Drosophila melanogaster: one gene and its partner. The protein of the gene in region 1 purifies or fractionates together with the protein of each later gene. This does not show direct contact. Each region holds a gene or a part of one and is shown in the gene's direction. Other genes may lie near its edges. The genes, in order: Polr2C and Polr2M.

Region 1 (3,536 bases):
GGTTGTTTTTTTTAGTTTTTAAATATATTTAATAAATAGTCCGGTACATCGCTTATGTGTATGGTCTCCGCCAGCCTTGTGTCCCGGCTGCGCAACTGCATCAGTCCGTTTCTTAGCGTTTGCTCGTTTATAACAAGTGTATAAGGTATGCCGAGCATATCCGTTTCCAGCAAGTGCTCTGCTAAATGAGAAGCGTTCTTCGTCGTACGAATTCCATCCCCTTCAGAAAGTCTAAGACCGGCGTGGTTGAGAACATGTTTCAGATGCTGACAAAGATCAGACAAGTCAGCAGATAGCTCGGAATCACTTTCCACACAGGCAATTCCACATTGATATGGCGCCAGAACGCGGTGTAAGAGCAGGGATTGCGAGTCCCGGCCATGATCACAGCCATCCAGAAGCAGAGCTAAAGGATAATAATATAGAAAGATTTTCAAAGATAGTTATGATGACCACTTACCGCAGGTGGTAGTTTCCAGCTCTATCACAGACCTTATGACAGTCGGTTGCACAATTTCACCCGTTCGCGCATCGGGCAGCCGGAAGTCTTTGTCGTCCACTATTCTCACCAGGCTCAGTTGCTCCACGGTCACTTCTCCTGCATCACCGTAGCTCGTGCGGATATCGATGGCTTGATAGTCGTTGGGATTGAGATCCTCAGCCAAATCGCAAGGTACGATGCGGTAGCGACTGGGATTCGAGGAAAGACGCATCCACCAGATCTTGCTCTCACGCTGCATGTTGTAGAAGTGCTCCAGTGCGCGATGTGGTTCCACTAGGAAGTCCGTGGTTAAATGTAGCGTAGGACCCTTTATCCCAAATAGGGAATTGCTAGTGGGACCAGAACAAGTGCTTTGATGTTTCAGAAGAGTGGGACATTTGGCCTTTCGAGGATGATCTTTGACGAGTTTTTGGAAATTGTTACGGAATTGCTGGCTTTGTGGAAAGGAAAAACGCTGGATGTTGACTGGATTTATGGGTTCTTTCGTGGCGCCCAGGTGCGCAGCCAAGGGACGTAGTCGTGTCCAATGCTGTTGCAACAGTTTGGCGTATTCCCTTCCATGACTCAGTAGCTCCAGTTTATTGTCTTCCACGGTGCGAAAGAAGCCAGCGGAAGCCAGGGACTTAAAGCATCGTTGTATGCGACTCATTGCTCCAGCGGAATGTTGCCCGGCGGCGAAACGAAGTAGTCCTCGTCCGTCACCTTGGCGTTCCGGAGCACCTCCGCCCGGCAATCGCCTTCGGTCACCTGGTCGTTGCGTAACTGGAGCTGCTGATGCTCCAGGACCGTGTACAGTGGACGCACGTGCTCCGTGTTGATATGGGCAATCTTGTCCGCGAACTGTATGCTGCTCTTTAGCGTGGCCAGCGCTCGTTCGCTATCCAGATCCACCAGCGACAGCCGCTCCAGCAACTGGATGGTTTTCGTGTCGATCTGGATTTCGGAGGCGCTGGTGTCGGGAAACTTCGAGTCCACTGGTGTCTGTGGCACCTTGGTGGGATGCGTTAGCTGCTTGAAGTCCAATTTAGTGGCCTTTTCATTCGATTTTGTTGCAATTTTGCAGTAAAAACGGCTGCTGAACAGACGCAACATTCTCACCAGCACAAAATCAGAGGTGGAACTGAGTTTCGGAACAATCAGCTAAATGTTATCTGAAAAGTATTGTCCTTGCAAAAATGTTGATTTATGTGTTTATTCTATCTTAATTTAAAGCAATTTTCTTGTTATTGTGATCTAGTTTAATTAAACATGTCTCCATCACATTTGTTCAATTTAATATATCCAGCCCTTATTGTTAAAAATCTAGCTATAAATCCGAAACGAGAACAACAATCGATAACGGCACACTTATCGCCGGCTGTTATTGCTGCACTTCCATCGCTTCCTTTTCACTGAGCGGGTTATTTTTTTCGTGACCCTTTAATTTCATCAAAACAAAACCGCAATGCCGTACGCCAACCAGCCGTCCGTGCAGATAACCGAGCTGACGGACGACAACGTAAAGTTCGTCCTGGAGGACACGGAACTGAGTGTGGCCAACAGCCTGCGGCGAGTGTTCATCGCGGAGACGCCGACGCTGGCCATCGACTGGGTGCAACTGGAAGCCAACTCTACGGTGCTCTCGGATGAGTTTTTAGCCCACCGGATCGGTCTGATACCGCTGATCTCCGACGACGTCGTGGAGCGGCTGCAGTACACGCGTGACTGTATCTGCCTGGACTTCTGCCCCGAATGCAGCGTGGAGTTCACCCTGGACGTAAAGTGCAGCGAGGAACAGACGCGCCACGTGACCACCGCCGATCTCAAGTCGAGCAATGCCAAGGTCCTGCCGGTGACGTCCCGCAACCAGGGTGAGGAGGACAACGAGTACGGCGAGAGCAACGATGAGATCCTCATAATTAAGCTGCGCAAGGGGCAGGAGCTGAAGCTGCGCGCCTACGCCAAGAAGGGATTTGGCAAGGAGCACGCCAAGTGGAATCCTACCGCAGGCGTGTGCTTCGAGTATGATCCGGACAACTCCATGCGACACACTCTGTATCCCAAACCTGATGAGTGGCCAAAGAGCGAGCACACCGAACTGGAGGACGACCAGTACGAGGCGCCCTACAACTGGGAAGCCAAGCCAAACAAGTTCTTCTTCAACGTCGAATCCGCCGGTGCCCTTAAGCCTGAGAACATTGTGGTCATGGGTGTGCAGGTGCTGAAGAACAAGCTGTCAAACCTGCAGACGCAACTCAGCCACGAGTCCCAAAACGATGCATTGGCCGTTTGATTTACATATAACAAGTTTATTTTAAGTTTATAAAAGATGTTCCGCCTAATCCTTGAACAAGCTGTCTATGTTAATGCCCACGTTCGCTTCCTTTTTTCCCTTGGGAGCAGGTGGTGCTGGTGACGACGTGATTTGCTGGCTCACCACAGCCTCCTTGAAGTCGCTCAGCAGCTGGGACTTGGATTCCGAATCCTGCTCTGGCAGGCATTCCTCTGGGGTAGTCTCCAGGCGGGCCTGCTGGCGCTGCTCCGCCAAAAGATCCAGTGCGGTCTCGTAGATCCTTTGCTCATCCAGGGCTCCTTGTCCTTTCAGGTCCTGGTATATTTGGACAAATTGCTGTGACTGCGTGCTGCGCCTGTGGTCAAACAGGGATATCGTTTCCTGGGGTTTGTTTTCTTTATGCAGCTTTCTGTTGGTGTACAAGATTAGTTCAGTATTGGTATAAGCCCGACTGCAGGTGAAAAACATACGCTCGGACAACATCCTCGGCATAAAATATCTGGCGCACTGGAATCTCAGGCGCGGGTCTGTCGAATCGGGGCTCCAGTTTCGGCGGAAAGGCGGCGTACACATCGTACCAAATGGGTTTATCCTCGGTTTTCATAGCTCCACCGCGTAGGAGGCCCTGAACTCTGCAAGAGTCGGGTGTTTAAAGCTTGCACAGATATTTCGTAGGAGGGTAAATACCTGGTGAAGATTGTGCCAATCTTTTCAAGCCTACTTTGTGCCATTTTGGTAAAGTTTTAATTAATTAAATGTGTT
Region 2 (3,990 bases), on another chromosome or scaffold:
ACGGTGTCCTGAAGGCTCGCTGGCGCCTCCTTGGGCAAGTCATCTGGCGTGTCGTAGGTCTCCGGCACATAGCCAATAACCTTGTTCAGCTTGATGAAGACGGTCGGCTTTTCGGTGGCGTAGCCCCACGTAGTGTCCTGGTTGAAATCGGCGAAGAAGTCAATGGCATTGTCGTTCAATTTGTTCAGGAAATCGTCGATGCGGTCCGCAATCGGATTGACCTCACTCATGATGTGCGTAAAGTAGGCCAGCACGGATCGATTCTGGTTGGGCACCATCGACAGACCCGGCGGACCCTTGAGCCAGCGCGGCTTATTCGGATCAATGATGGCCAGCATAAAGATGCCCAACCAAAAGGCCACAATGCACACGATTAGGGCGTATAGTACCAGGTAGAAGCCAGTGATACGCATCCAACCCAGAGCTGTGCGTCCGAACAATTTGTGCTCGTCTATGTCGAATATCCTCTTCGACCACGGCAGGTCCTTCTTGCGACGTGTCTCCTGGTTCCGGCGTATCTGCTTGACCAGCTTGTAGTCCCCAGCGGGCACCATTACGTCCTCCGGCATCGTGGCGATCGTTCCGGTTCTGATTTGGCTACTGGTTACGTGGGCGTAAGTGGGAAATATTCGAAGCTTGTAGCTTCGGTTCACTATGAAATCTAAAGCGGAGTAAACTATAATTCTCAAATAGTTTTATTATTTTGTTAAGTATTTATTAATACATTAATAAATCCAGCTGAGTTAGCTGATCTCACTCGTACCACTCGTCCAGCACCAATGGAGTGGTTGGATGAACTGGTGCCGTCAGACGCACCAGCATCTTGACCGTTACCATATGGAGCGGTATGTTCTTAGCCCACGCCTTGCAGTGGATTTGGATGTCCTCGTTGATCGGAATGTTGCTCAACCGAACACTGATGATGCGCCTGAGGCGGGGATCCTCCTTGTAAGTAGGTCCGTCGTCGTCCGAAGACTCGTTGAGAAAGACATTGCCGGAGGTGAAGAGCTCTTCGGCATCGAAGAAGCGAACCGGATGGTAGTCGAACTGAATGTCCACTCTTGGCTCAATAACCTGGCAGGACACCCAGATGCGGTTGAAGCGCTCCTCCGAGCCCAGGCCCACCACATAGTCGAATAGCTCATCCGGAGCGTACTCGGGCAGCGTTAGGGCGTCATCGTAGGTTACCGCCTGGAAGCCCAATGCCTGGGTGATCTTTATTAGAATGCACGGCGTGCCGGACATATAGCCCCAACTGTCGTCTATGTTACAGCCCATCAGGCGCTTCGGGCCTTCGAGACCGTATCGTTTCACCGTTCGCATTATCGCGCGTTGTATGTTAGCCACATCCTTAATGTTATTAGGGCTCCACATAATTTGCTTCTGATCACCGACATGGTGTCCGGGTGCGGTTGCTAGTCCGGGGAACTTTTTGCATCCCGGCCTATCCGGATATATATGATTCGCAATCATCACGAGGGCCAATCCGGTTGTGAATACGCCCAAAACGAAAAAGAATCCGATGAAGTAGAGCAGCAGTTTGATAAAACGGCACACGGTCATCTCGGGATCCGCATTGCGTGTGCGAATGGAACGCCTGTAGAGGTACTCCGCCACACGCATATCACGACGCCGGCGAAGGCGTCCCAATTCGTAGGGACCAGAATAGATTATCGCGTCGTTAGGCATGGAATAATAATATATGGGTACTTAATTATATCTTATGGAAATATATGAGGGATTTCAGAAAGCTAGCTTGGGGTGGATTAGAAATATAGGAATGTATTCCGCACAGAAATCAGAAGCACTAATGTATATTTTTGAATAACGCGCCTTTTTGTCGATAACGATAGGCGTTAAGTGAACTCCTGTAGCCCTTTGCTTCGTAGCAGCACTAAGTATTTTATCGCAACCACAGCACGGTCATACTAAGCTTATGAGCAAAATAAGTGAGCCAAAATGGGCGATAATGTGATTCCTGCTCCGCTTAGCCGTATCCCGGGCACCAGCCAGGCGAAGGAGAAGCACAGCAAGGACCTGAAGACCCTTACCTATCCGCAGCTGCTGGAGATTAAGGACAGGCAGTCTCACTTTCTGTCGTTCAAGTGAGTTTTAGTTTCCACCTGTGGAGTTCCCTGTGAATTTATCTTATTTAATTTTATCTCTATTTAGAAAGCGTTTGCACCAACTGCCGGACAAGGGAAAGCGTCTGCAGGAGTCGTACGACAAATTACTGGCCGAGATCAGGAGGCGGGATGAAGTAGAGGAAGCGACTCGAATGTTGAGCGGTCTCAACATTGTCGAAAAGGGCAAAATTGCTCTCAACAATCTGGAGTGGAATGGCAGAAACACGGACGAGGGCGCCCATGTGGACGACATTCTGGACAGCGATGATGAGGTGGAGATGGATCCGCTGCGGATTATAGCGCAGGGAACAATGCACGAGAAGAAGGTCAAGGTTTTGCCTCCGCCAACGAGTTTCATTACGGCAGATGATCTGGCGGATATCGAGGAGTTTAAGAAACCAACCGACTCCCCAGATTCCGCCTTGGCAGGACATAGTGACACCAGTTCCCTTCCTGCCGAGATCGTAGAAATCGACGCCAGTCAAGTGGCCGCAAAGCTGAGCAGGGAGCTGCCTCCCGATCAGCATGCCCTCTACCTCATCGATAAGACGGAAACAAATGTGAATACTCCTAGGGAAAAGTTTATGCCATTCCGAACCACCAAGTCCAATGTCCACAATCCCGACAAGGAGCGCGTGCGCAAAAAGGGCAAGCATTGGGAAATAACGGCAGCAACTCCGCCACTCATCCAGCACAAAGAGGCCCAGTTGGTGCCATTGGCTGAGTCGGCTGCGTTACAGATTGATTACATGCAAAGAGTAAAGGTAATTTCATTGCTTATGGTCTACATAATTCGATGCTAAATACACTTTATTTGTAGGAGGTTCGCATTCAGCAGGCTGAACAGCGGCTGGCCAGGCTTAAAGACTCTCGACTCCGACTTGGCCTGCCCGAGGAATCGATTGTGAAAACCAAGGAATCCTTCCGCAACTACCGTGATCCCCAAGACACTTTTCTCATCGAGGGCAGGCAAAAAGCCAGCGAAGCGAATGAAGTGCAAGATCCTACTGTTCAAGACAGAGGATCGTCCGCCAGTGGCATTCATTACACGGTGTTCGAGTAACCTATGGGCAGAGCATGAGATAGAATCTATGCTATTCGATTTCCAAGAAACATTGTGTACTATTTATTCGCGTAGGCAACAATTACCAAATAAGACTGCATACATAACTATACTGTGTATACTCTGTGAATACTTAGATTGAATAGAACTGCGTGGCTGTGGAGGCTTGCAACTCGATCTGGCCCATCTTGAACTGCAAGCGCTGCAGCCATTTGAGCAGAGCCTCCGACTTGTACGTTTGCTGCTCCTCGTAGTCCGGTGCATAGTCTCTTACGTTTTGCAACCGGACGTGCAAAGTGTCCGAGAGTTGCGTCTGTGACGAGAGTACGGGGCTCCACATGGGTAGCAGTTTGCCCAGCACTGTGGAATTGGTGTCCTTCAACGCCTCCAACAGACTAAGGAAGTGCAGATTGACCATCTCGGACAGCTTGGAGTTAGCACTCTGCGTCTGAAAGTCCAGGGGGGTCTGCGGCTGATCCTTATTGACTGTCGGCTTGGCGTGGGACACCAATTGCAAGATGCAGGGCGTCACCTTTGCCCAGAACTCAAAAAGAACGCCTAACGTGCTGCCCTCCGCATTGCTATTGGTATTGTGGGCCATCTGCTCCAAGTACACCGTCCACAGTTGACATAGAGTGAATGCATGGAATAGCGAGGACATGTGCAGCACGGAGGTCTTGGACTGCTCCGCAAATCCGGCAAAGATCACCTGAATGTGATCGGCGATGTGGCAGGAGGCTTCCTGCGGCACCGGTTGCGAATAGGTCACTCCTTGATGCTGATAATGTACGCTGGCTGCAG

The links.
Region 2: the proteins of Polr2C (region 1) and Polr2M purify together in Drosophila melanogaster (affinity purification with western blotting; one study listed by BioGRID). This does not show direct contact.

The regions. Positions count from the first base shown.
Region 1 is NT_033779.5:13,831,478-13,835,013, forward strand, and holds Polr2C (RNA polymerase II subunit C), read left to right. Parts: upstream 1-1,859; 5' UTR 1,860-1,946; coding exon 1,947-2,774; 3' UTR 2,775-2,819; downstream 2,820-3,536. Other genes in the region: PolG2 (DNA polymerase gamma subunit 2), read right to left, coding at 12-406, 461-1,151; GatC (Glutamyl-tRNA amidotransferase, subunit C), read right to left, coding at 1,148-1,594; mRpS23 (mitochondrial ribosomal protein S23), read right to left, coding at 2,820-3,183, 3,245-3,406, 3,462-3,505.
Region 2 is NT_033777.3:19,227,539-19,231,528, forward strand, and holds Polr2M (RNA polymerase II subunit M), read left to right. Parts: upstream 1-1,924; 5' UTR 1,925-1,959; coding exon 1,960-2,105; intron 2,106-2,172; coding exon 2,173-2,890; intron 2,891-2,946; coding exon 2,947-3,189; 3' UTR 3,190-3,294; downstream 3,295-3,990. Other genes in the region: CG11703 (uncharacterized protein), read right to left, coding at 1-569; CG5250 (uncharacterized protein), read right to left, coding at 754-1,689; unc79 (uncoordinated 79), read right to left, coding at 3,323-3,990.